7 linked regions of the Sus scrofa genome follow. The protein of the gene in region 1 interacts with the protein of each later gene in a biochemical or structural test. Links are inferred from orthologs where the notes say so. Each region holds a gene or a part of one and is shown in the gene's direction. Other genes may lie near its edges. The genes, in order: TJP1, JAM3, KIRREL, CGN, CLDN7, JAM2 and CLDN4.

What was found.
Region 2: the proteins of TJP1 (region 1) and JAM3 form a complex in vitro, tested with the Homo sapiens proteins (2 studies listed by BioGRID and IntAct, with this or other methods). The link is inferred for Sus scrofa from reciprocal best matches to the Homo sapiens genes TJP1 and JAM3.
Region 3: the proteins of TJP1 (region 1) and KIRREL form a complex in vitro, tested with the Homo sapiens proteins (3 studies listed by BioGRID and IntAct, with this or other methods). The link is inferred for Sus scrofa from reciprocal best matches to the Homo sapiens genes TJP1 and KIRREL1.
Region 4: the proteins of TJP1 (region 1) and CGN form a complex in vitro, tested with the Homo sapiens proteins (2 studies listed by BioGRID and IntAct, with this or other methods). The link is inferred for Sus scrofa from reciprocal best matches to the Homo sapiens genes TJP1 and CGN.
Region 5: the proteins of TJP1 (region 1) and CLDN7 form a complex in vitro, tested with the Homo sapiens proteins (2 studies listed by BioGRID and IntAct, with this or other methods). The link is inferred for Sus scrofa from reciprocal best matches to the Homo sapiens genes TJP1 and CLDN7.
Region 6: the proteins of TJP1 (region 1) and JAM2 form a complex in vitro, tested with the Homo sapiens proteins (2 studies listed by BioGRID and IntAct, with this or other methods). The link is inferred for Sus scrofa from reciprocal best matches to the Homo sapiens genes TJP1 and JAM2.
Region 7: the proteins of TJP1 (region 1) and CLDN4 form a complex in vitro, tested with the Homo sapiens proteins (2 studies listed by BioGRID and IntAct, with this or other methods). The link is inferred for Sus scrofa from reciprocal best matches to the Homo sapiens genes TJP1 and CLDN4.

Annotation. Positions count from the first base shown.
Region 1 is NC_010443.5:145,193,058-145,197,084, reverse strand, and holds the start of TJP1 (tight junction protein ZO-1), read left to right. Parts: upstream 1-1,227; 5' UTR 1,228-1,294; coding exon 1,295-1,467; intron 1,468-4,027. UniProt on the Homo sapiens protein: TJP1, TJP2, and TJP3 are closely related scaffolding proteins that link tight junction (TJ) transmembrane proteins such as claudins, junctional adhesion molecules, and occludin to the actin cytoskeleton.
Region 2 is NC_010451.4:60,702,245-60,705,744, forward strand, and holds part of JAM3 (junctional adhesion molecule C), read left to right. Parts: intron 1-9; coding exon 10-75; intron 76-545; coding exon 546-659; intron 660-3,500. UniProt on the Homo sapiens protein: Junctional adhesion protein that mediates heterotypic cell-cell interactions with its cognate receptor JAM2 to regulate different cellular processes. Plays a role in homing and mobilization of hematopoietic stem and progenitor cells within the bone marrow.
Region 3 is NC_010446.5:92,288,088-92,292,358, reverse strand, and holds the start of KIRREL (kin of IRRE-like protein 1), read left to right. Parts: upstream 1-1,471; 5' UTR 1,472-1,809; coding exon 1,810-1,861; intron 1,862-4,271. UniProt on the Homo sapiens protein: Required for proper function of the glomerular filtration barrier. It is involved in the maintenance of a stable podocyte architecture with interdigitating foot processes connected by specialized cell-cell junctions, known as the slit diaphragm.
Region 4 is NC_010446.5:97,709,999-97,713,498, reverse strand, and holds part of CGN (cingulin), read left to right. Parts: intron 1-58; coding exon 59-265; intron 266-638; coding exon 639-896; intron 897-2,131; coding exon 2,132-2,302; intron 2,303-3,092; coding exon 3,093-3,254; intron 3,255-3,500. UniProt on the Homo sapiens protein: Probably plays a role in the formation and regulation of the tight junction (TJ) paracellular permeability barrier.
Region 5 is NC_010454.4:52,612,056-52,615,748, reverse strand, and holds CLDN7 (claudin-7 precursor), read left to right. Parts: upstream 1-1,159; 5' UTR 1,160-1,331; coding exon 1,332-1,554; intron 1,555-2,390; coding exon 2,391-2,555; intron 2,556-2,682; coding exon 2,683-2,767; intron 2,768-2,852; coding exon 2,853-3,015; 3' UTR 3,016-3,193; downstream 3,194-3,693. UniProt on the Homo sapiens protein: Plays a major role in tight junction-specific obliteration of the intercellular space.
Region 6 is NC_010455.5:189,198,311-189,202,588, forward strand, and holds the start of JAM2 (junctional adhesion molecule B), read left to right. Parts: upstream 1-1,478; 5' UTR 1,479-2,019; coding exon 2,020-2,086; intron 2,087-4,278. UniProt on the Homo sapiens protein: Junctional adhesion protein that mediates heterotypic cell-cell interactions with its cognate receptor JAM3 to regulate different cellular processes. Plays a role in homing and mobilization of hematopoietic stem and progenitor cells within the bone marrow.
Region 7 is NC_010445.4:11,051,054-11,053,819, forward strand, and holds CLDN4 (claudin-4), read left to right. Parts: upstream 1-1,227; 5' UTR 1,228-1,389; coding exon 1,390-2,019; 3' UTR 2,020-2,266; downstream 2,267-2,766. UniProt on the Homo sapiens protein: Can associate with other claudins to regulate tight junction structural and functional strand dynamics.

The DNA of each region.
Region 1 (4,027 bases):
CTGTGGGAATGCTGACATTGCCACCTTTCCAGTGACTCTGGACATGCTGCCAGAGGAATGTACCAAACGAAAGCTTGAATGAGGACAGTGGACTGTGACAGAAAGGATGATGATGTCCCAGAGGACATAAGGCTAAAGGAACTCTAATATACTCTACCACAGTGATCACCCAGAGGATAAAATCTTGAAAGTGATCCAAACATGACTCTTTGCCAAGACACAGAAAACAGGCTCTGTGGGTATATAACAACTCTTCTAGGAAAAGACAAGCACCCTTTATGTTACTCGTTACTTTTTTGTTGCAAGAAATAAAACACTTTGGAGTTCCCCTGTGGCTCAGAGGTAAGGAACCTGACTAGTATCCATGAAGATGCTGCTTGCATCCCTGGCCTCCATCAGTGAGTTAAGGATTCCACGTTGAGCTATAGTGTAGGTGACAGACGCAGCTCTTGGCCTAGGATTGCTATGCTGTGGCATTGGCCAGCAGCTACAGCTCCAATTTGACCCCTAGCCTAGGAACTTCCATATGCCTTACGTGTGGCCCTAAAAAGACAAGAAAAGGAATAAAACACTTCAGTTCTCAACGTTTGCACTGTTTTACAGTACAACAAATGATTCGCTTTGCTATTTTCCCATTTCTCTATACACTTATAACCACCAGTGAAGAGTTAGGAATGTTTGGACAAAATGTTTCAAGGTCGGTGTAACAGTCTTCATTTTTTCCCGTCGACTCTTTTTAAGATAGTTTTGCACGGTTCAGGGTTGTTTCCACAGTTGGTCTGCCTGCCAGAGAGGACCGACATATATACACATATTATACATACAAACAGCATGTGTATGTGCGTGCATTTTACAGACACACAACACGTGCACACACTTTGGGTGGAGCACATAAATGATGGTGTCAAGTAGTAATTATAAAAAAAAAAATTTTTTTTTCTCCTCTGGAAGATTGTGGTTGGGATTTTGTGGGAGTGAACGCGCTGTGCGACCGGAGGACGCTGGGGCGGCGCGGGGTTGGAGGGGCGGCCTCGCCCGCAGTTGGGAGCCGGCGGCACAGAGGCGGGCGCGGGCTCGCGGGCGGGTGTGAAGCGCCGCGCGGCGCGGGGCTGGAGCTGGGTGGGTAGGGGAGGAAGGGGGCGGCGGCCACGCACGGCGGCGGGAGCGGAGACCACGCACGCACGCGGGAACGGGAGCCCGGACGCGCACGGCCGGCACGCAGGCGGCGGCGGCGGCGGCGGTGGAAGCGGAGCCTGGCGGCGGAGCGGGGCGGCGGATGGCCCAGGGCTGACCTATGCGGCGCCTGGAGGGGCTGTGTCTGCGGCGCCGGCGGCGGCGGCGAGGCCCTGGCCGCGAGCGGAGCGGGGACAAGATGAAGTACCAGAAATACCTGACGGTGCTGCAGATGGCCATCGGCGTCACGCCGTCCAACCGCGGCAGCCTCCTGCCGCTCAAGAGGAAGCTGTGGTGAGGGCCGCGGGGCGCGGGGTGCGCGGACCAGGGTCGGGGAAGGGGGTGGGGGGACGGGGGCGGGGCGCGTTCACGACCCTCGCCTGGACTACCGTGAGTGTGCAGCCGACGGCGGGGCGGGTCCCCGGGTCTCCGCCGCTGCGGGTTCTGGCTGAGAATCTCCAGCCGGGCTGACGCGGAGGCAGCGAACCGTGTATTATCAGCGAGCGCTTTCTGAGCTTTCTCAGAATCCATCCTCTGCCCGGTCCGCGGTCAAGGGCGCGCCGCTCCCTCGCTCGGGGCGTCAGTGGCGGGTCATTGTTGAGATTTCAGGGACTGTAATTTACTGCGGGCGGTCCAGTTCTTCCAACCTGGGAACTGCTGTTGGGGTGATGGGGAAGAATACCCCTAAGAAAGAAAATGTGGGGTTATCCATATCTGATGTTCATAGTTGATTATCTCTGATTGTGTTGCGTTTTATTAGCGTTTAAATATGCCCTGTGAAATCCCAGTGACTACCTAGGCATTCATTCCATCGACTTAGGACCTAGGTGTGAGGTTCTATAGCAAAAGGAGTGCTCAGGTAAGGGGATGGTGACTGTAGGGGGAAAAAAGGTGCCAGTGATCTTCGAGTTCAGGGGTCACTTCAAGTTTTTTTAAATTGTGGTTAATATGGTTCAGAGAGGTTTATTCGATTCCATTAAACATAGTCCAGTTTAATTTTAAGGTTATGGAGAAGGGATGTGAGGCCGCTTTTAGGCACTGGAGAAAAGTAAAATTTTTGCTATATAAGACAAAATGTAATAACGATCCAAAGAATATAAAGATCGATCAGCCAAGAAAAACAGAAGATTAAAAAAAAAAATCCCAGTAGTGCAAAGTTTTGGAGGAGAGACTGAAAAATATGGGCCTCGAAGTTCAAATTTCAGCCATGCCACACTTACTGTGTGACTTTAGACAATTGCTGGAGTATCTGTTTCTTCCTCTGTAACAGGAGAACGATGTTACCTATCTTTTGGGGTCATATGGAGATCAGAAGCCCTGGTAAATACAAAGTGCCTGCCTGCTTCTATGCCTGGCCAAATAGTAGGTGCCAAGTAAATGTTAGTGTCTTCCTCTCCCTGCCTCCCAGTTGTTTAAAAACAGAAATTTATTCTGCAGAAGGTATTTTAATTTGATGAACAGCAAGTGTCAACACATGGAAGACTAGGCTGATAAAAGTTGGCTGTAATTAAGAAATGTTCATGGAAGAGGGTTTTAGTAAATACATCAAAAATATGTCACGGGGAGTTCCTTGTGGTGAAGCAGGTTAAAGATCCAGTGTTGTCGCTGCTGTGGTGTGGGCTGGATCCCTGGCCCTGGCAATTTCCACATGACTCTAGTGCAGGGGAAAAAAAAGGATATGGTGATATTATGAAGTAAAAAGAAGTAACAATTGAAGATAACTTTTTAGATGAATGTTTACAGCAAAAACAGCAGAGGTCCACACCAACAGTCTTAATCCCCATCCACCTTTTCTTCTGAGCGCTGATCAGTATTGAACAAACTACATATTTTACTAAAGTTTTATGTAAGTCACTTCTCCCTCGCCCTAGAATGTAAGTTGCATGGGGCCAGGGCTTTTTGTCTGTTTTGTTTACTACTGAATTCCTTGCAGCTAGTGTCTAGTACAAAATCAGTTCTCAAAAGATGTGTATTGAATAAATGATTTTTTCCCCTTTTTTGTGGCACATGGGGTTCCTGGGCCAGAGATCAGATCCGAGCCACAACTGCGACAACCCCAGATCCTTTAACCCACTGTGCCAGGCTGGGGATTGAACCTGTGTCCTAGCCCAGAGATGCTGTCCATCCCTTTGTGCCACAGGAGGAATCCTAAATGAATGAATTCTTTTTTCTTTTTCTTTTTTGTCTATTTAGGGTGACACCTGTGGCATATGGAAGTTCCCAGGCTAGAGGTCGAATCATAGCTGTAGCTGCCAGCCTAAGCTACAGCTCATAGCAATGCCGGATCCTTAACCCACTGAATAAGGCCAGGGATCAAACCCGAATCCTGATGGATCCTAGTCAGGTTCCTTACTGCTGAGCCACGATGGGAACTCCTAAATGAATTCTTAATAATATGTAACTGGGAAAGAAAGTTAAGGAAAATTTTTTGATGTTACATCTAAAAACCAAGATATGGAGATAATGTTCGAGGAGCTGTTAGGTATGAATATTAGCAGCAATTGGTCCCAAGGTCAAGAAAGCAGGTTTATTCTTTTTGATCACTGGAGGGCGGTTTTCACAACTGCTTTCCCCAATAAAGAGTTTGTGAAGAGAACACAAAGAACATCTTTCCTCTAGAGAGTCACGTTCAAGGCAGGCAGTGACTGGGGCTAGCATTAAAAAACGTCTTAAAAAGAGGCAGCCTGGAAAGAGCAGGAGGATTTTGTTGTGCTTTTCCACAATCTTAAATGAGCATTCAGAATTTCCACTCAATATTAAGTAGATTTGCAGATGTTCATCTGGTTTTTCAAGGGGCAAAGTAAGGTGCGCGCACACTCTCCAGGGCTCTAGTATTTTTTGATGATTTGTGTAT
Region 2 (3,500 bases), on another chromosome or scaffold:
TTCCTTCAGGCTGCTTGACAGGGGCCGTGAATCTCAAATCCAGCAACCGAAACCCAGTGGTACAGGAATTTGAAAGTAAGTACTAGGGAGGCATTCAGCGAATGGGCACTACTTGGTAGACTTGCAGCCAGTGAGGGACAGAGGCCCACGGATGTTTCATGTCCAAAAGCTGGAGGTGGGGGTGGGGTTTCTTAGCGGACACGGTGCCAGGATAGCACTGCTTCAGTAGCCTCTGGGGAGCTCTGCAGGCTTCCTGTTGGCTAAACTCTGATTCCTGGCCTAGCTTTGCATTTACACAACCAACAACATTCTTATATACAAGAATATATATCAGGGGAAGCATGTACTCTCTTTAGTAAAAGTCTCTGCTAATCATCTTAATTGTTTTTCTGGCTAAAATTAAAGTCTCTTGGAGCCTGGAGCTAGCTAGATTTTTAAACTGCAGGACAGACCTAAATAGATGTAGCTTGCAGGGTCTGAGTATACAAGTTAACCTAACATTGCTCCACAAACACTAAGAGTTCTTTTTTTCCTCTTCTCATTAGGTGTGGAACTCTCTTGTATCATTACGGATTCACAGACAAATGACCCCAGGATTGAATGGAAGAAAATTCAAGATGAACAAACCTCATATGTGTTTTTTGACAACAAAATTCAGGGTATGATCCTGTGGTCCTTTCCTTTGTACAGAAGGCCCAGGCATGCATTTGTGGCCAAGACTTTGCTCTGACTGGACCTGTGTGTGTGGCCAGGATTGGTTTTCTGTCTTGTTTTACTTATGGAAAATTCAAGCTTGCAGTAGTGAGAATGGTGAAGGGAGCCTCCCTGAACGTGTCACCTGGTTCAGTAAATATCACTTTGTCAGTTAGAGTTTTAGCCCACATGCAGCCATCATTTTGAGGTATCAGAGGAAGGTTTTCCTATGCCACTTCCCCATCATGACCCACAACATTATAAGCTAAATGACTTATAATGAACCCTACGGAGCAGCAGGAGGAAAGCAGTGTCCACTGTGCTCCTCCTAGGAAGGCAGTCAGCTGGATGTCAGCACCCTCGCATGACAGGGGCAGCTCAGTGGTCAGGGGATGCTTCCCCAGGAGTGCCATCCAGGCGGAGGTGTCAAGGGAGGTGAGCTGGTCAGGCGGGGGCTGCAGGCAGGGGCTGGGCCAGGAGCACATGCAGAAGAGTGGAAGCAAAGTGAGCTTCTAGGAGGAACCGCAGGCTCAGCTGTGAGCCAGGCGAGGGCAGGAACTGAGGCCCCAGGCGCTTGAAAGCTCTCCCCAGGACACCGAGGTGGTTGCTCTGCAGGGCAGGGCCCAGTTCGGGATTCTTCTGCAGAGGCCAGGAGTGAGGCCAGGGTCATGTGGAGAGAGCTGAGAGGAGCTGAGATGGGGTGGGGCGGTTACTCCCAGGGAGCAGTGTGTGTGAGGGGGTCAGCACAGCTTCAGAGGTGATGGGGCAGAAGGCCACCACAGGCCCTCTGAGAACTGACTGGAGGTTTCAGGGAAGGGAGGGAGGCTTTGTGGAAACAACCGAAGCCCCTGACCTTTCTGCCTCAGCTCCCCCACATCATCAGGGGTCATGGGCTCTTAGAAATAGCTTTGTTTTCCCACAGTGTCCTCCCCGCCTCTCATTTTTTGTAGAGATGGAATTGTTACTCTCTGGCAGCCTCATTGGGCGATTCCTGATGAGCCCTGACCGGGTGGGAATGTGTTTCTGGGAATTAAACACCTTCCTCTTGGAGGGGAAAGGGGAGGGGTCCGTACCATACAAATTAGAGGCCTGGACAAAAGCTTGAAGCTCATGGTCTCCTGCTTTATGCGGATTTGTCTTGACTGTTTCCTCATATGGTGGACATTCTGACCCCGATGACGACCAGATGACAGCCTTCCCCGTAGAAAGCACCTTTGGAAATGTTCGTCCTCTTATCACGAGCCTTTTGCTGTGGTTATTACGTTCTGGTAAATCTTTCCTATACTTGTCACCAGTTGGCAGGTTTAGTAATAATTCAGTCCTCATTTTTGTGTCAATTTTTTTTCGAATTCCTTCCCTATTTGTCACTGCCTGGGATCTTAATCCTTTGAAAAGAGTTACTATGTCTTTTAAGTGTTTTAATTGAGATACAGTAATTCATATTCTGTTTTGAAGTGTGTACTGGGTTAATACATTCAGCAAAGATAATGTGACCACAATGTCAAATTCCAGCACTTCTTCCCCTCCACAAAGAGACCCTGTGTCCACCCCGTTTCTCTGTCTGGCGGCCCCCGAGCTACTTTGTCTCTGGATTTGTCTGTTCCGGATGCTTCCTATAAATGGAATCACACAGGATTTGGTCCTGGCTTCTTTCACTCAGCATATTGTTTTCAAGGTTCATCTGTGCTGTAGCAAGTGTCTGTTCTCTGTTCTTTTTTCTATCAGTGAATCATATTGTTGTAGATATGCCACATTTTATTTTATTTTATTATTTTGTTGTTGTTGTTGTTATTGTTGTTGTTGCTATTTCTTGGGCCGCTCCCCGCGGCATATGGAGGTTCCCAGGCTAGGGGTTGAATCGGAGCTGTAGCCACCGGCCTACGCCAGAGCCACAGCAACGCGGGATCCGAGCCACGTCTGCAACCTACACCACAGCTCACGGCAACGCCGGATCGTTAACCCACTGAGCAAGGGCAGGGACCGAACCCGCAACCTCATGGTTCCTAGTCGGATTCGTTAACCACTGCACCACGACGGGAACTCCAATATGCCACATTTTAAATCCATTTCATCCACTGCTGTATATTTGAGTTGTTTCCACTTTCTGATTGTTACCATGATATTCATAAACATTGTACCAGTTTTTGTGTGAATGCAATTTTGCACTACTTGGGAATAATGGCCAGGAGTACAATTGCTGGGTTGTTTGATGTCACATGGATAATTTTTTAAAGAAACCACCAAACTGTTTCCCACCATGGTGCACAGTTTTATGTTCCCTCAGCAGTGTTTTCTCACGTCCCCCAAACACCTGGGTGATCCATCATTTTGATTCCAGCCATCCTAGGGGCTGTGAAGCGGTAGCTTATTATGGTTTCAATTGGCATTTCCCTGGCAACTAATGATGTTGAGCATCTTATGCTTATTGTGTATTTGCCTATCTTTCTGGAGAAATGTCTATTCAAATCCTTAGTCCATTTTTAATTAGGTTGTCTATTTATTGAGTGGCAAATTCTTTATATACTAGTATATTAGTCCTTCATCAGATATATGATTTGTAAATACTTTCTCCCATTCAGCGGACCATCTTCTCACTTGCTTGTGTTCTTTGAAGTACAAAAGTTTTCATTTTTGTTTTGAATCCACCTGCAGCATGTGGAAGTTCCTGGGCTAGGGTTCGAACCCAAGCTGCAGTGACAACCCTGGATCTCTGATCTGAGCCACATAGGAACTCCTAAAAGTTTTAAATTTGTTATGAAAGTCTATCGAAGGCCAATATAACTTTGTGTTTGGGAGGAAGGGGAGAT
Region 3 (4,271 bases), on another chromosome or scaffold:
CTGTTTGTAGGAATTTGTGATTATATTCCCATTTCTCTGGGTTAGGAATGCTCTTTGTTTTTAAACCGTCTGTTAGCCTGTACATATGTGGTTTTGAATATATGGAGGACTCTCTGGGTCTGTGCATAGTGTGTTTCTGAATATGAGTTTTTGTGTTTTTCTGTCTGTGTTTCTGTGTCCTCTACATGTGGATGTGCTTGGACCATTCAGGCTGGCGTCAGAATCTGTGGAAGGTGTTGTAACAGCATATAACCAGCAGGGGGCACCAGAGAGCCATGCGCCTTTGCTCCGGGGCTGAAATCCAGAAATCTTGGCGGGTAGAGTTAGGGACCCAGGAATCTGGGAGGAAAGAAGAGGAGACCTCTCCAGACCAATACAATACTGTAAAGTTGTGCAATTCCTGTACAATTTCTGTTATTTCTCCTCAGCTCACTCCCTAGGACCCAGCGGTCAAGCATCCCCAACCCTGTGAGATGCAGAATCAAGGAGTTTGGGAGAGAGGTTGTGTGTTAAGCTGAGCCCTTTAAGAAAGAGGAAACCCTTCCTGAAAGCCCTCATCCCTCTCACTAGGACTTCTCTCCCTTCCCTGTAGCCAGCTCTCTCCACCCCAAAGGATCTCCAACTCTATGCTTGGAGATCTTCGTGTGGCTGCCCTCTCCTTGGCCTCTGAAGCCTTCCAGTTGGCTCCTTTCTCCTCTGGATGGGTAGGTGCCCAAGATAAACAAAGGCAGGAGTCCACTGTGCCTCTCCCCAGTCAGCTGAGGACTCCAACCCAGTCTGGTCCCACTGTGTGCTCGGCGAGGCCCCGAGGCAGGGGCTCTGGGCAGGTCCAAGAATTCTAGGATTCTCCAGCTTTGGGGTTTGGAGGTGGGAAGAAGTGTGTATCCCTCTCCACCCCTAACCTTCATGAGTCTTTTGAGAATTCCCAATTTGGGGGATCTAGGGGTTAGATTCTGGGTGTGGAATTGACAAATAAAAAAAAGATTTGATGCTTTTCGATTCCATGAACCAGCGCCTGCCCACCCCCTCCTCTCCCATACACGCTTACACACACCCAAACACACACAAACACTCACACACCCTTCCCATCACAGTCATTCCCTGGGCTAAAGGCTCGTCCTCAGCCCATGCCCCGCCTCCCCAATCTGATGCCTAGCTCCGTAGCCCGGGACTAAGGTTGTGTATATAAATGGGGGGGAGGTGCGGGTGGGCAGGGATCCGGCCGTCCCAGCGCCCGCGACTGTCACGTTCATTACCCCTTTTGCCCTCCACCGCTTTCTCTTTTGGTCTCTGTCCATCTCAGTTCCAGCGAGGGGTGTGAGTGAGTGTGTGTGTGTGTGTGTGTACGCGCGCGCGCACGGTGGGGGGAGCGGGGGGGGAGGGCTGTGGAGGGAGGCGCCGTCGGAGGGAGAGTAGACGTCAGGAGGAGGGACAGAGGAGGGAGAGAGGGAAGGAAGAGAAGGGGAGAGAAAGGGAGAGCAGAGACCGAAAGAGACCCCGAGAGATAAAGCTAGAGGCGAGAAATAATAAAGGGGAGAGGGGAAGGACAGAGGGGGGCGGAGAGAGAGAAGAGGGAGAGAGAGGTGGGGAGACGGAGAGGGACGGGACCGGGAGGAAAGAGAGATAAAGAGAAGCGGAGGGAAGGGAAGTGAGTTTGTGCGCGCGAGTGAGTGTGCGTGTGAGTGTGTAGGGGCGGGCGCGGGCGGTGGGGGGCGGGCTCCCGGGCTCCCCTCCTCCGCAGCCCGCTCCTCTCGCTCCCTCGCCAACTCCGGGCCCCAGCCGCGGGCGGGCGCACGGCGGGCGGACAGCATGCTGAGCCTCCTCGTCTGGATCCTCACTCTCTCCGATACTTTCTCCCAAGGTAAGGGCCCCCCGCCCGCGGCTGCCCTCGGCTCCCACCCCCACCCCCCCGGCCGGGCTCTGCGCCCCCGCCGTGGGGAGCACTGGGGGGGGGGCGGCCCGCGGCAGGTCCCGGCGGTCGGAGACGCCACGAGGCGGGGGCTGGGGCCCAGCGCGGAGTCCCGGGGGAGGGGGCGCGGAGTAACGGGGCCCGGCGCGGAGGAGTTTTCCGTTGATTTGCCCAAGTTGTTTCCTCTGGCTGCGCGGGAGAACGGAGAATCGGGGCCGCGGGGGCCGGGGGTCGGAGTGGAAAAGGGATCCGGAGGCTCCAAGTCTTTTCCGGAGCCTCTGGCAGCCCTGCCTGCCTCCACCCTCTGAGGCCAGGAGTCCGGACGCCTGGGTCCTGGCCGGGGGAAGGCTGCGGAGAGGGTGGGATTTCAGATGCTGGGAGGTGGGAGGTGCGCGGTGCGCGGTGCGCGGAAAGCCGAGGACCCCCTGCTCCGGAAGATGGAGCTGAGGGAATCCCTGTCCTCCATCCAGCCGAACCCCTGGGGCGGGGTGGGGGTGGGGGTTCTGAGCCTGAGCCGCGGCTCCTGACTGCCTGGGGCTGCCCCCTCCAGGGGAAGGGAGGGTTGCCTCCGGGCCTCTGGTGGGGATTTGAACCCCTGCCCGCGGAGGCTCCGGCTCGGGAGCGGAGTTCCAAAGGCAGCTTCAGGCCCGCGCGATATGGAAAGGGGCACCTGCAGGGGAACTAACACCCCACTTGGGGTCAGGAAAGTGGGGATGGCCGGGGCTCTTTTTGGGACTGGCAGGGGAGAGGCTGGGAGGTGGAGGGGGATGAGAATGTTAGTGTGTCCTGAGGCTGGGCTGGAGGGGACGCGTGCGGCCGCCAGGGGAACTGAAGAAATCCAGGGCCCAGACTCCAGCCAAGACTGGGGTCTGTGGGAGTGGATTTTTGTCTCCTGGGGCTGACTCTAAGGAAGATTTAATCCTGCTGAGCTAGCTCCCCCTTCTCCCTCCCCGCCCCGCAAATGGAGCTGACACACAGAAATTGACACACAAACACCCAAAACCAGTCATAGACACTGAGACAGACTATTCACCTATGGAGACAGACATACCCGCGAGCATCCCCCACACGGAGACAGACACATATACACAAAGACACTGACACATCTGAGGAAGACAGGTTCCTCCCCCTTATCGGCACATGCGTGCACATTCATGCACCCAAACACATCAAAACTCACAGACACAGTACATGTATGCAGGCAGGCATTTACAAGGACACCACACACACACACACACACACACACACTGAAACCCAGCTACAGATACCTAACCCTCCAGCAAACAAAGAAACTTGAAGAGACATTCATATAGGCAGACACCTATGGAGATGTACAGACTACAAAATGGAGGAGGTGGTCTCCTTTTTTGGGGTGGTGGGGCCGTGGGAATCCAGGAAGAAGGAAGTTAGCTTGGACAGGTTAGCCCTGCTCTCAATCCCCTTCCTGGGCTGGTGGGTGTGTGTTTAGGGGTGGGGTGTTATGCTGGACCCCTCCCCTCCCCTCCTGGCCAGGCCCCTCCCCAGCTCTGAAGGCCAAGCCAGGCTGAGCTGGTGGAGGTGGGTCCCCATCCATCCCCTTAGAGCCCCCCAACCCCCCCCCCACAGACACACACACACACACACACACTCAGAATTTGGGAAGAGCGCGCATCTGTGGTGTGAGTGGAGTGGGAGGTGGTGCCGAGGGAGAGGAGGTCTGGCCCTGGGGTTGGCAGGCCAAGCCAGCCACTTGGCAGAAAGTTGGGAAGATGACTTAAGTTCTGACTTTGTTCAGCCAGGCTGCTGGAGAGGGTGAAGGGGGGAGAGGGGAGGGCCCACGGTGGTGGGGGAGGGGTCGGCTGGGTCAGTATTGGTATGTGATGGGGGCAGGCCTTGGTCTGCCCCTTTTCCCGCAGCCCTAATGTGTCAGCAACATGGATACGAAAAGCTTCCAGGAACAAAAGCTGCAGTTAGCAAACGGGAGAGGCATGTGGATCGAGTCGGGACAGAAATGGGCTGGGAGAAGTGTGTGGAGTGCCTTTCTCCCTCCGAAAAGGGAGGGGGAGGGGGAAGGGGTCGAGGTTAGCTGAGCCCCCATGTCGCCTCCTCCAGGACCCGATGAAAGTGTGCAAACGTGTTTGGGGTGGGGGGAGGGGATAGCAAAGGGGGAAACAAGGGGACCGAGCGGAGGGGAGAGGAAGCCACTCCTGAGTGTTCCTAGGAAGCTGAGCTAGGACTGGGAGGAGGCAGGGTGGGAAGGAGAGGGGATCTGGGGAGACTGGGACACTCATGGGGGGCCGGCGGAGGGGAAGGTGATAGGACCTCCTTCCTCAGTTTCTGTCCTTAGAAAGAGAGTTCTAGGTCTGGGACTGGGGCAGTGAGA
Region 4 (3,500 bases), on another chromosome or scaffold:
AGTTGTCGTTGACCTTGAGCCCTGGGGTCTGAGCCTCCTCTCCCTGAACCGGCCTCAGGCTCAGATGGCAGCAGAGGCAGAGGCAGCAGTGCTGGGGCAGCGTCGGACGGCAGTGGAAACAACACTTCGGGAGACCCAGGAGGAGAACGACGAATTCCGACGGCGAATCCTGGGTCTGGAGCAGCAACTGAAGGAGGCGCGAGGCTTGGCGGAAGGCGGGGAAGTGGCGGAGGCACGGCTTCGGGACAAGGTGCAGCGGCTGGAGGTCAGTACTTTCGCCGATCTTGTTAGCTTCCTCCTGGCGCTGTCTCCTCATCCCTGCCTAAATCCTCAGCCATCACTTTGATTTTGTGTGGACTGTACTTTTGTTTGCCTTCCCAGCCTTCTGGTAACCTTGGGTTTATTTCCTGGCGTATGCTTTGGTGTGACTTTCTCAAGTGTCACTGGCATTTTTGTCTGTCTTCTATCTACTTTTTGCCTGTTCTCTGTTCTTCGCTGGGTCCTCTGAGCCTGTTTTTGTGGCCCACCTTTTTAAAACAAGCATCTCTTCCTCCTTCCTCCCATCCACTCACCTCCAAATGGCTTGAGCCCAAGGTTCGCATCCTGTCATCCAATGGTTCTCTCCTTCCCCATCACAGGCAGAGAAGCAGCGGCTAGAGGAGGCCCTGAACACAGCTCAGGAAGAGGAGGGGAGCCTGGCAGCAGCCAAGCGGGCCCTGGAGGCACGGCTGGAGGAGGCCCAGCGGGGGCTGGCCCGCCTGGGGCAGGAGCAGCAGGCGCTGAACAGGGCCCTAGAGGAGGAGGGGAAGCAGCGGGAGGCCCTCCGGCGCAGCAAAGCCGAGCTGGAGGAGCAGAAGCGCTTGCTGGACCGGACTGTGGACCGGCTGAACAAGGAGGTGGGGCCTGGGGCGGCCTGGGCTCAGGAAGAGGCTCCGCTCATATCGAAGCTTGCCTGGCGGGACAGGGGGTGGGAGTTGGGGTCACATCGTGTGGTGGCTGCTTTCCTCAAGTTCATTGTTGGGGAGGCCGAGGCCAGATCCTCAGAGTGGCATCCTTCCTACTTCCCTCCCCTGATGGTCTTGATCCTTGGAGAACATTTCCCGGAGTTCCTCCTAGAAGTCTATAGGCCCAAAGAGCAGAATGTTCATTGGTAGAGTTTTATATTTGGAGGAAGAGAAAAGACCTATAATCCCTCCTGAGGCATCTGTAAGACCTAAAATAAGAATTTTCATTGGTAGACTTTTATGTTTGGGGGAAGGGAAGGAAGAAAGGAAGAAAAGGAAAGAAACTGCTCTTTTGGGCTAAGGTTCTCTTACTCTCTCACTGTAAAACTGGAGCAGACACATCATATGTTTCATCTGTTCTAAAAGGCACATTGTGTCATCTCTGAAATTGATTTGTGTCTTTTTTCGTTTGTTTTTTGTTTTTTTTTGCCTGTTTCCAGGGCCGCTCCCACGGCATACAGAGGTTCCCAGGCTAGGGGTCTAATCGGAGCTGTAGCTGCTGGCCTATGCCAGAGCCACAGCAACGTGGGATGCGAGCCGGGTCTGTGACCTACACCACAGCTCACGGCAACGCCAGATCCTTAACCCACTGAGCAAGGCCAAGGATCGAACCCGCAACCTCATGGTTCCTAGTCGGATTCATTAACCACTGCGCCATGACGGGAACTCTATGAAATTGATTTGTGTCTTATACGAATGTGTTATAGCTTAACGGGCAGATTTTTCTTTTAGCGGTACGTCTTAAAATAATCATTAGCATCTTGGGTTTGCTGAAATGTGGTCATTTAGGGTTTACTTTGTATCAGGTACTGTTGTAAATAACTTTAACATAATTAGTTAACATTCTTACAACACCCTTGTGATGGAGATACTGTTATCATCCCATTTTACAGATGGGAACCTGAGACCCAGACCCATCTAATAAGCGGTAGAGCCAGGATTCGAATCCAGAAAATTTATATATTACTACCAGCTATACTAGGGACCTAGGTCCAGGAAAGAGAAGAGAGAACTGCTTTGGCAGGAAGGAGGCTCTGGGAGAGTCTTGAGAGTCTGAGCCTGGAGAAGGGACAGAGGCGTCTGTTAAAGAGATGCAGTGCTGAAATAACTCTTTTTCTGTGTTTTAGCTGGAGCAGATTGGGGATGACTCCAAGCAAGCCCTGCAGGAGCTCCAGTCTCAGCTGGAGGATTACAAGGAAAAGGCCCGGCGGGAGGTAGCAGATGCCCAGCGCCAGGCCAAGGAGTGGGCCAGTGAGGCTGAGAAGACCTCTGGGGGGCTGAGCCGGCTTCAGGATGAGGTAGGACCCTTAAATGGCCAGAGGATGGAGTGGGAACCCTTCCAGCGTCCTTTAAGGGATCCTGGGACCTGGGTTTAGGTATAATCACTTAGGTGGGAGAGTTGGGTGGCAGGGGGGTGTTGTCCACCCTAGCTAGGTACAGACAGTAGGGGATGCATCGTCTGTATAGGTGTGATTTGCAAACTCTGCTGCACATCAGGGTCACCTGGGGAGAGTTTTAAAAATCTCAATACCAGGAGTTCCCTTCATGGCTCAGTGGTTAATGAACCCGACTAGCATCCATGGAGACTCGGGTTTGATCCCTGGCCTCACTCACTGGGTTAAGGATCCAGCATTGCCATGAGCTGTGGTGTAGGTCACAGACACGGCTTGGATTTTGTGTTGCTGTGGCTGTGGTGTAGGCCAGTGGCTACAGCTCTGATTAGACCCCTAGCCTGGGAACCTCCATATGCTCTGGGTGCAGCCCTAAAAAGACAAAAAAAAAAAAAAAAAAAAAAAAAAAAATCTCAATACCCAAGATATATCCTGTACATCTTAAATCCTAACTCCTGGGGCTGGGATCCAGGATCCATCGTCTAAGAACTCTTTAGGTGCTTTAAACTTGTGTGGAGGGTTTTAAAAAGACAAAAATGAAAATGGGCTAAAAGTCATTCTTTTTTATTACCACCATGTTCTGGCAATTCTTAAGAATGTCAGTGTTGAACTATTTCTCCCCGCAGGGTGGACTGCTCCCACCCCTCAACCTCCACCTGACCTTATCTGAGCTGTTGCATTTTTCCTTTCTGACCAGACTCAGAGGCTGCGGCAGGCCCTGCAGGCATCCCAGGCTGATCGGGACACAGCCCGGCTGGACAAAGAGCTGCTGGCCCAGCGGCTGCAGGGGCTCGAGCAAGAGGCAGAGAACAAAAAACGCTCCCAAGACGATAAGAGCCGACAACTCAAGAGCCTTGAGGTGAGGACACTGAGGGTGGGAGAGGGAAGGTGATTGGGGTGGCGGGGGGTGTGGGGGGGTCTGGATCCTGGCACAGGTGGGATATCTGTGGGGAAAAGAGCCAGGATACTCCAAGCCTCTTTCTATACTAGGGATGGAGAAGTAGCAGCCCACAGCTGATGGATTTTGTTTGACTGCAGTGTTTTAAACAACTTTGAATTCATTGCTACTGTTTGGAAATTTATAGATGTCACATAAAATTTGGGG
Region 5 (3,693 bases), on another chromosome or scaffold:
GAAGAAACCCGAGGGTGAGGTGGGAGTCTGCGGGCTGAATTAAAGGCCCTATTAGAGCCAAGACGTCCTGGGAGACCGAAGGTGAAGGGGTGGGGGGGACGCACAAAGAGGCAGGTCCAGGATCAGAAGGAAGGAGAGAAGTGTGTGCAGGGCTCAGGGAGGAGGTAGAGGAAAGGTGAGGACGGCTCACAAAGACTCCAGGGAGGGGAATGACAGGTGTGGCCAAGACTCTGACCCAGCCTTTCTCTGCTCCCACCCTTGCCTGGCTTCCGGCTCAGTGGTTTCTTCCTTCTGCTATAAGCACCCTTGAGGCGGGGTGGGACAGTGACCTTGGGGACGTGGGGTACCAAGGGCCCAAACGCTGTCACGTCAGGCAGGGACGGGGACGCCAACCCCGCTGCTGTGGGCAGTTCTGAAGGATTGGAGCCAGAGCCCCTGCAGGTGGGATTGGCTACTAGGAGAGGACGCTGAAGGGAAAAAGAGAAGCGCAGAGGATGAGGGCGAAAGTAGGGCGGGACAAAGAGCGCCTAGGGTGGAAACCGAGAGTCCCCGCGGGCGGGAAAGGCGGCATCAAGGCTGGCCCGGGGCATCCCCCCCACCCCGCTCCGGCTCCACCGCGTTCCTGGCGCACCTGTTGGGGAGAGGGCAAGGGACAACCTAGAGCCCCAGGGACCTCCAGTCCAGAGGGGCTTACTCTAAGCTGGGGACTCCGGCGCAGACTCCGCCTCCTCCCCTCCGGCGGTCTGAGCCCGGCTAGTCGAGGGGCGTGACCCTGGTGCTCAGGTTTCTTCCTCTTTACCTGGGCCGGGAGGGGTGGGGGCCAGGACTTCCGGCTCAGGTGAGTGTCCCTTTGGTGACGTCAGGTCACCCTCGGCCGCCCCTCCGGCCCCTCCCCCCTCGCGCTCCCAGAGCCCGCGGGGGCGCGCCCCCGACGCCCTACATATACTCAGGTGCGCCGCACCTGTGCGCCCGCACCTGCCTGCTCACCGCCGAGCGACCTCGGCCTCGCACTGCAGCCTCGGGCCGAGAGCCCAGGGTACCTTGGGACTTCCACTCCGGGACCGCGCCCCTACGGCCCCTCCACCTTTGTTTGGGGAGGGTCGCCGAGCGCACGGGAGGGAACCGCCTGGTCTTCGCGGATCGCTTTCGCCGGCCACCAACCCTGTTCCCTCTGCTGTGAGGCCTCTTCGCCCCCACCCCCGTCCCAGGGGTCGATTTGTGTTTACCTCGGTGACTAGATTTGCAGGCACTTGACCACCAACTTTTTTTTGTCTCCTGGACTGACTTAAAATTCGCCCACCCGGCGCCCCTCGTCTTTTCTCAGGGCGGAAATGGCCAACTCCGGCCTGCAACTGCTGGGCTTTTCCATGGCTCTGCTGGGCTGGGTGGGCCTGGTGGCCTGCACCGCCATCCCGCAGTGGCAGATGAGCTCGTACGCGGGGGACAACATCATCACGGCCCAGGCCATGTACAAGGGGCTATGGATGGACTGCGTCACGCAGAGCACAGGCATGATGAGCTGCAAAACGTACGACTCGGTGCTCGCCCTGTCCGGTAAGGCCGTGGGACCGACGGGGCGGACGCGCCCAGGGCCGAGGTTGGGGCGGGGGGCGTGCGGGGTCCCAGGGCCCGACCTTCTGGGTTGCCTGGGAGCAGGTGGGAGAGGAGGAAGCGGAAGCGGTCGGGCGGGAGCCGTGGGGTCGGCCGGCCGCGGGCCTCTGGGGCTGCACGTGCGCGCGTCCCGGGCCCGCGGCTCTCCTCTTGGCCCTGGAGGAGCCTCGTCCCCGGCTTGGCGGCCCTAGCGCCTCCCGGGGAGCCGGGCCTTCCCCCCTCCCCCCGCCCCAAGGAAGCAACGGCCTCCGCCTTCTCCCGCCCTTTTCTCGGACGAAAGGCGGCTTGGGCTGGAGGCCGCCGGGTCGGGCTGGAGGCCGCCGGGTCGGACTGAGGGCCGAGGAGCCGTGCGCCCTGTCGGGCCTGGGCGGCTGCCTGCGGCTCCTAATCTTATCGGCCGATTAGCCAAAGCCACAAACCGTGGCCTCGATAGTGGGGTCAGAGCTGGGACGAGGGCCGGGATCCGCGGCCGGGGTTCCGGGGCTGCGGCCACCAGCTCGCCTCCTCTTCGACGTCCCCTTTCACCCTTCCCCCTCCCTGGGGCAGTTTCATCGAAACCCTGGCGCCCCGGGCGGATCCTAGAGCCGAAAGGGCGGGGCGGAGCGGGAAGGCCGCGGAGTCAGGAGGGGCGGGATCCACCGGCTCTGGCCCGGGACCGGGAGCCAAGGGGGCCCCAGACTAGCGACCAGTGGGGCTCGGTCAGCGACTCAGGAGGCTGGAGCCCTCCGAGGGCCGCTGGCATTTCCAGCAACGATGGCATCCTTTTGCCTTCTCCGCAGCGGCCCTGCAAGCCACCCGAGCCCTAATGGTGGTCTCCCTGGTGCTGGGTTTGATGGCCATGTTCGTGGGAACCATGGGCATGAAGTGTACAAACTGTGGGGGAGACGACAAAGTGAAGAAAGCCCGTATAGCCATGACTGGAGGCATCATTTTCATCGTGGCAGGTGAGCAACAGGTCTACGGTGGGCCCAGGGACTCTCTTCCGGGCCCATCCTGGGGGGTGGTGAGGGCCGGCGTGGTACTGGATTGGGGGGGGTGTTCACAATGTCTGAATCCTCATTTCTTCTCCAGGTCTTTGTGCGTTGATAGCTTGCTCCTGGTATGGCCACCAGATTGTCACAGACTTTTATAACCCGTTGGTCCCCACAAACGTGAAGTAAGTATGGGAGCCCTACCTTCTAAGGGTCTGGGGTCCGGAGAGGCAGGCCAGGGCTTCTGACCCCAGTCCCATCTCTCCACAGGTATGAGTTTGGCCCTGCCATCTTCATTGGCTGGGCAGGGTCCTCTCTGGTCCTCCTGGGAGGTGCGCTGCTCTCTTGCTCTTGTCCTGGGAGTGAGGGCCAATCTGGGTACCGTGCACCCCGCTCCTACCCTAAGCCCAATTCTGCCAAGGAGTACGTGTGAGCTGGGCTGCCCTGCCCCAGCCTGGCAGCCTATAGGGCACCCCAGACATCTGAAAGGACCTGGGGCAGAGAGCTCAGCCCGTGGGCAGAGTGCGGAGCAGAAGCCTGCGGTCACTCCAGCCTGGCACACTGTGTACAGTTCCTGGGGGGTTGGGAGGGGGGACCAAAAGGGGAGAGTGTGTGCTTTTTGTACAGTAATAAAACTATGTTTTGGAAAGTAGGCTTTTATTCTCCCTTCAGAGCATCTGCTTTCTTTCAACTCAGGTACTTGCAGGGAGCCTAGAACCTAAAGTGTACCTACTTGTTTAAAAAAAAAATCACTTCCTGCCACCAATGGGGTGCAAGGCCTTGCCAGCTCCACCCTTCTGGCACCCAGGCCCCCCATTTTGACGAAAGGGACTATTGCCAGTCTCCAGTCCCATTTGCTCCCAACTCTTGTTTAAATAGTGACCAAAGAGGTTTTTTTTAAATTAAAAAATAAAGATTTTATTAGGCTGGGGAAGGGCATGGGGCTGTTCCTATCCTCTCACCTCCCCTTCTGCCCCCCCCCCCCCCCCCCCGCCTGCTTTCTGTCCCACCTGGAAGCTGCTGCCTGGCTCATGGGTCACAGGGCAGGGCCTTCAGACTCAGGGAACAAAGTCGGGGCAGAGACAGGGTGAGGCCACCAGAGACAAAGGAA
Region 6 (4,278 bases), on another chromosome or scaffold:
CCGTTTAAAATGTGGCTTAACTTTCCATGCCTAAATGGGAGGATGTGTGTACATTACATGCATCCCCAACATAGGAACATCCTCTTATCCTTGACCTTGAACAAGCTCCTTAGCATCTCTCAGACAGGTTGTCTCATCTGTAAAGTGGGAATGATAATATTTTCTCTCTTACAGAGTTGTTGGAGGATTAGATAGTGCCCTGTTCAGACTCTGCTGAGAAAGCACTCAATAAAAATCTTTTTTTCTGTCCCCCAGTAACACTTACCATGTGGTTTTAGAGGTCTTTCCAGATGGAACTCACTGTCTTTCCTCAAGACTGTGAGCTCATTAGCAGCAAAGACTCGATCTTGTAAATCACTGTCCTCCAGCATCCGGCACATCGCAGCTCTTTGACAAACACCTTGCCTGGTGACAGATAACGCAGTGAATCAGTTATTCACATAGGATGTCACAGAATTAAAAAAAAAAAAATTCCACTTTGTGTGTATCTGTAGGGAGGAAGGAGCAAAAGAAACAGTTGTGGCAAGAATGAGAAAAGAGGATGCCAACAACTTTTCTTCTGCAGCGTTAAATCTTTCTTGTCACAGCCCAGAAAAACTGGCATAAGCTCGTTGTTGTTCACGTCCTTTCTCCTTGCTCGACTGGGTACAGCTCTAACATTTTTGCCATTTCAATTTTCCTTTCTGGGTCCCCTCTGCCCCTCTCCCACCATGGGCGTTAAAGCCTCCATCACTGTCACCAAGGAAACAGTAGGGACGCCTCATTCCTCACAGCTCTGCATATCTGAACTCTGGCTGCCTTTGTCCACTGAGCTAAGCTAAATTCTTTGCGTGCACACCACTAAATCAACTGTCTTCTATGCAGAACTTTACCCATTATTCTACAGTTTAAAAAACACATGGGGAACAATTCCATCTCTTAGGAATGGCCTTTTTCCAGACCTGTCAATACTCTTAAATGCACCAGACATTTTTTGGTCCCTAGGAGGAAATTTTAAAATTTCCCGTTTAGCCCTTGTACTGTGTGCGATGTAAGTGCGGGTCAATTTTAAAGCACGCAACAGAGCATTCATAATGGGTTTCCCTTTTAAAAGCACTGTAGACCAAAAATAAACCTGACAAAGGGCAGCTGTAGAGTTTTAACATGTGGAAAACTCCACAGGCGGCAGTTATATAACTGAAAAGAAACATGATAAATATTTCACACCGTTAGATGAACTTCTGACACGTGGAAAGCAAGGAACACAAAACACAGCTTAACCCTCTAAGAAGCAGGAAACTTACACAGAGAAGGAGCCAAGGCGATGGCTAACATCTGAGACCTGCCTTCCAGCACGAGTCTCAATTGTTTTTTTTCCCCCCTTCGCCTCCAAGGCGGAGCCGGAGAACCCCATCTCCCCGGAGCGCCTCCCTCGCAGCTTCGCGGGTTGGCCAGAATTTTCCAAATATCTCCACCCCTAGGCTGAAAACCCCCAAAGAACTTTTGTGCGGAGGAGGAGAGGGGAGTTGGACCAAGGCAGGCGGAGTGCCCTCTTGCACCGTGCCCCACCCCCCTGATCCCGGCGGCCAGCGCCTCCCAAGCCCGGGCTCCTCGCCCTGGGGACAGCTGGCAGCCCCGCGCCGGACCAGACACAAAGCCGATCAATCCCGGCGGCGCGGGGGCGGGGGCCGCCCCGCCAGGGCTTCCCTTCCGCTCGTCGCCTCCTCCTGCCCCCTCGTTAGGACCCGGGCAACACCTCGTCCGGCTCCCACTGCCCGCCCCTTCTTACCCCCCCCCCAAAAAAAATAACTGCCCAGACCCTCAGGCCCCTGTCTAGGCCAGACCCGCCTCTAGGCAGCCCGCGGAGAAGGCGCCCCTGGAAAAGGGAAACTGACATCCCATCAGGGTCCGCCCCTCCCCTGCCCTGCACGCGTCTCTTCTCTCAGCCACCGAAGTTCAGGGAGTCCCCCGCCGGCCTCCAGCGGTCCCGCCACCAAGACCCTCGGCTTTCGAGGAGCCGCCAGCTCCGACCCCGCGAAGATGGCGAGGAGGAGCCGCCACCGCCTCCTCCTGCTGCTGCTGCGCTACCTGGTGGTCGCCCTGGACTGTAAGTTGCTGGGGGTACCTCCATCCTCCCACCCACTCCTGCGGAGACCACCTCCCCCAAACCTACAGCCCCTGGTCGCGGCGCTGGCGGCGGGCTGTCTCAGGGCTCTGGGCCGAGGGTTCTGCGGCCGGGTGTCTAACCAGACACTCAGCGAGCCCATAATCCGGGGTGCCAGCAGGGGCGGGGAGCCCGAGGTCTTCCTTTCCTTGTATATAGCATCTGCTTTTTGTCAGTACCAGTTAGAGAAAATTAAGAATCCACACCAGCAGGTTCTCACCTTCTTACAAAGTTGGGTTAAGTTTTCAAAGACACAGACACAGGGACGTGAACAGAATGCAAAACTCACTAACTCCTTAGAAGATGCTAAGATCCCAAGATGGCATCACTCAGAGCCAGGCGCCGGCCACCCTCTTAAGTGCCAGAGGAGGGGGCGGTGTTAAAGTATTTTTGGCTTCTGGGGGTCCCAGTTGCACCAGTCATATGTAGTGCACTTTTGGGTCAGGGGTGGGAGGGAATTCGGGGCTGCTGAGCCAGAATTACTTTTATCCTCGCCACCTGCACATCTACATTCAGTTAGAGGAGTCTGGTCTGGGCGCTCCAGCCAGCTGCTGTGTCCTCAAGCGACGTGCAAGGGGATGATTGTTAGAAAGATACAAAAGCCGAATGATAGAATAGCGGGAGACGTCCCAAAGCCAATTTCATGGGATGGTTCTAAACAGGATTTTCACGGATTCTGGGCTCATAAGATTTCAAATCCTCGCGTTAATTTTTTAGAAAAATGGAGGAAACGACAATAGCTCTTAAGCACTTCGGCACAGTTTTCCTTTTTTCTTTCGTTTTTCTTTCCTTTTATTTTTCATAGAATGGATTACTGTTATTGCTATCCAAGTTCTGGTAATATAATACTTAAAATAATCTGCCGGACGAGTGTCTAATACCACAATATAATGACTTTTTCTGGCTCTCTCATTGCCTAAGTGAGTATTGCCAAGCTCAGTGTGGTGTGGGTTTTTGTCCCTTAGTGGAAGGTCAAGTTGTCTCAGGGAAGGGACATGGGCTGCCCTATGTTATAAAAAATCAAACCAGAAAGTCAAGGCTTCACAATAAAACCACTATGCAATTTTTAAATATCAATTAGTATCATGTTGAACACAGAAAAAAAATTACTAATGCTGTCGAAGGCAACAAAGAAGCAGGTTGGAGATATTGTAACAAAACTGCTAGGAGAGTTATGTATTTTACTGACAGCCTTAAATTTCAAATAAAAAGGACTGACTTTAGTGGAGAATTATCACTAATTAAAAACAGAGAAAATGATTTTACTTTGGTATCTTGTTCAATAGTCAAAAATAGAAACAGACTACCTCTTTTTCAAGCTTTAGGTAAAGCTAACACATCGTTCCTTCTAATGCTGACTCCTGTAGGGATTAACTTGGAAGTGGGTAGTGATCCTTTCTGTATTGGTCCTGGGATGCCAGAAGGCCTAGTACTGCAAGAATGTTTTCTTCTATTTGTTTTTTGTTTTTTGTTTTTTTTTTTTTGAAAACAAACTTTTAAACTTTCATAGCAGTTTAGATTTAAAGAAAAATTACAAATGTGGTATAGAGAGTTCCCATACACACCACACCCACTCCCCCGTTATGAATATTTTACATTAGTATGATCCATTTGTCACAGTTAAGGAACCAATATTGATACTTTTTTTTTTTTGTCTTTTTTTGCCTTTTCTTGAGCTGCTCCCACGGCATATGGAGGTTCCCAGGCTAGGGGTCTAATCGAAGCTGCAGCCGCCGGCCTACGCCAGAGACACAGCAATGCGGGATCCGAGCCACATCTGCGACCCACACCGCAGCTCACGGCAACACTGGATCCTTAACCCACTGAGCAAGGCCAGGGATCAAACCCACAACCTCATGGTTTCCTAGTCAGAGTCGCTAACCACTGCACCATGACAGGAACTCCTGGGGATACATTATTTTTAACAGAAGTCCACACTTTATTCAGATTTCCTTCATCCTTCCCTAATGTCCTCTTCTGTTCCAGGCTCCCAGCCAGGACACCACCTTCCATTTAATAGTTCTGTATCCTGAGGCTCCTCTTAGCTGTGACAGTTTCTCACACGTCCCTTGTTTTTTGTCACTTTGACAGGTCTGAGGAGTATTAGTGAAATATTTTGTAGAATGTCCCTCAAC
Region 7 (2,766 bases), on another chromosome or scaffold:
TGAATCTGTTCTGGTTCCCAGAACTTGCTGCCTTTCCACACCTCGGGCACCTTTGTCCTCATTGTTCCGTCCCCTTCACCTCGTCCCCCAGCCTTGCACAACTCCAGGCGGCCCGTCCCCGGTGATTTCTGCCATCAGAGTCCTCCTCAGCACAGGCCAAGAAGTTAGCGCCCCCTGGAGTTGTGCCAAGGAGCTCCCCCTGCCTGTTGAGCCCCTTTTCCTGGAACCCCATCTGCTCTGAGCTCCCCCTCCCCTTCCAGGTCACAGGGGACTTTGCTCCCATCCTGCCTTTATCGGACGACGGTTTTGTGTGTCTTCACTGAGTAAACACCCATTTGCTGGGCTGAGGTCCCAGGGTCTGGCCACGGTTTGCTCTCAGCGACCTCCCCAACCCAGTTTTGGCCAAAGAGGCTCAGCTCTGGCAGGAACTGGTGGAAATGTCGGGGGGCAGGGGCCGGCAGCCTTCCTTCTTTCTTTGTCCGAAGGAGCATCACCTCCCAGACCCCTCCTCCTCCAGCAGGGCTGGGAAGCCAGATGATGGTGCCGAGGGATGGGGAGGGCAGGTGATGGACCCAGGAGCCCAGGCCCCCCAGCTCCTGGTTCCTTAAGCTGGTCCCTCCCTGGTGAGGCGGATGCATGGATGGTGAGGCTCTTAATAGCCATTATCAGACCAGTGACGGATAAGCTGATAAGGACTCATTGCAGGGATCAGGGTACAGCTGCCCTCTGAAGTCCCCAGGGCTGCATCCTCAGATCCTCTCCCTGAGGGTCTCCGCTCCCGCCCCCGCCCCCGCCATCCACCCACCCAAGCCTGGAATGATGGAGCCCCGGGGGGTGGGGACCCAGGACCTCAGGTCCCGGACCTGAAGGCTCCCCTTCCGGCCCCCCAGGTATGTCCAGGTGCGTGTAGGCTGTGACTCAGTGTCTGTCTCCCGTGTGACTTCAGCATGGGCCTGGGGGCCGGGGGAAAGGGCAGTTTCCTCTGATACTGGCTCTCCAGGGTCATGACTCAGGGGCCCAGGGCTGGGGCCTTAAAGTGCCTTTGTTGGCAGGCTCAGGAATCTAGAGAAACTGGTCAGGGGGGCGGCTCCTGCGACTGAAACCCCTCCCTCGCCCCCGCCCCTCCCCCGCAGCACCATATAACCTCTCCACTCTGTGAGCAGGTGGCACTTTGGCGGCAGGAAGGAACTAGTCTGCGAGCGCTTGCTGGGCTTGTGCCTCTGACTCAGGAGAGACGCTTCAATCGGCTTTGCCTCTGGACTTGCGGTGAAAAGCCTCTCTTCGGACGCTGACTGGCCATCGGTGTTCAGGTGTCTGGACTCTAACAGCCTCCAGGGCCGGACCCCACAGCCTTCCTTCCAGCTCCTAGACCCCAGCAGAGCCTGAGCCATGGCTTCCATGGGGCTGCAGGTGATGGGTATCGCCCTGGCCGTTCTGGGCTGGCTGGGGGCCATCCTGAGCTGCGCGCTGCCCATGTGGCGCGTCACGGCCTTCATCGGCAGCAACATCGTCACGTCGCAGACCATCTGGGAGGGCCTGTGGATGAACTGCGTGGTGCAGAGCACGGGCCAGATGCAGTGCAAGGTGTACGACTCGCTGCTGGCGCTGCCGCAGGACCTGCAGGCGGCCCGCGCCCTCATCGTCATCTGTATCATCCTGGCCGTGCTAGGTGTGCTGCTGTCGGTGGTGGGCGGCAAGTGCACCAACTGCGTGGATGATGAGAGCGCCAAGGCCAAGACCATGATCGTGGCCGGTGTGGTGTTCCTGCTGGCCGGCCTGCTGGTGATGGTGCCCGTGTCCTGGACCGCCCACAATGTCATCCGCGACTTCTACAATCCCCTGGTGGCCTCGGGCCAGAAGCGGGAGATGGGTGCCTCGCTCTACATCGGCTGGGCTGCCTCTGGCCTGCTGATGCTCGGTGGCGCCCTGCTTTGCTGCAACTGCCCACCCCGTACCGACAAGCCCTACTCAGCCAAGTACTCCGCCGCCCGCTCCGCCCCCGCCAGCAACTACGTGTAAGGTGCTACCGCCGATTCTTTTCCTTTCAGCTTGGTTTCTCCCTGGACTGCAATCTGTGACTCCAGAATGGCCCTGCCACGGGCCGCAGGCTGCCAGGGCTGGGCAAGCAGGGACTGAGCCGGGCCGCTGGCCAGAGGCCCCTCAGCGCCTTCTGACCCTCTCGGACACCTTCCCAAGGCCACTTCCAATGCTAGCAAGGATGGATGGAAAGAGACTCCTGCGCTGCCCTCCTCTGAATGGCTGTGGATACTGGGGGCTGGCTCCTGCTGGCCAGGACAGCTCAGCCCTGACTTTGCGTGGGCTCTGCCTCTGAGTGGACAATGTCTCCTCCTTTGACCTTCCCCACTGCCTCCGCCGGCATCCTCTGGGTGGGTCAGCCAGCACTTGGGCTGTGCCTTGCCCACAGAAACCTGTGGCCATGAGATCGGCTGCCTTGCTCACCCACCTGCCCGTGGAACACAGTCACCGGAGTGGTGTGGACAGACAGGTTTAGAGGGGAGGGGCAGAGGTGCTACAAACTGGTTTGGGTAGTGGTGGGGGAGGGGGCCACAGAGGCTGTCCAGGTGGCCCGCACCCCTTCCTGCCCCCACCCTGCCACCTCAGGGCTCTGCCTCTGCAACCTCAGCGGGCGGACCCTGGGCCCCTCGGAGACTGGCCACCTCTGGAATCTTCCACCCCTGCCAAGGTCATTGACTAGCCTGGGGAGGGCAGGGAGGACAGTCTTCCTCTGGCCCTCAGCCAGGAAGC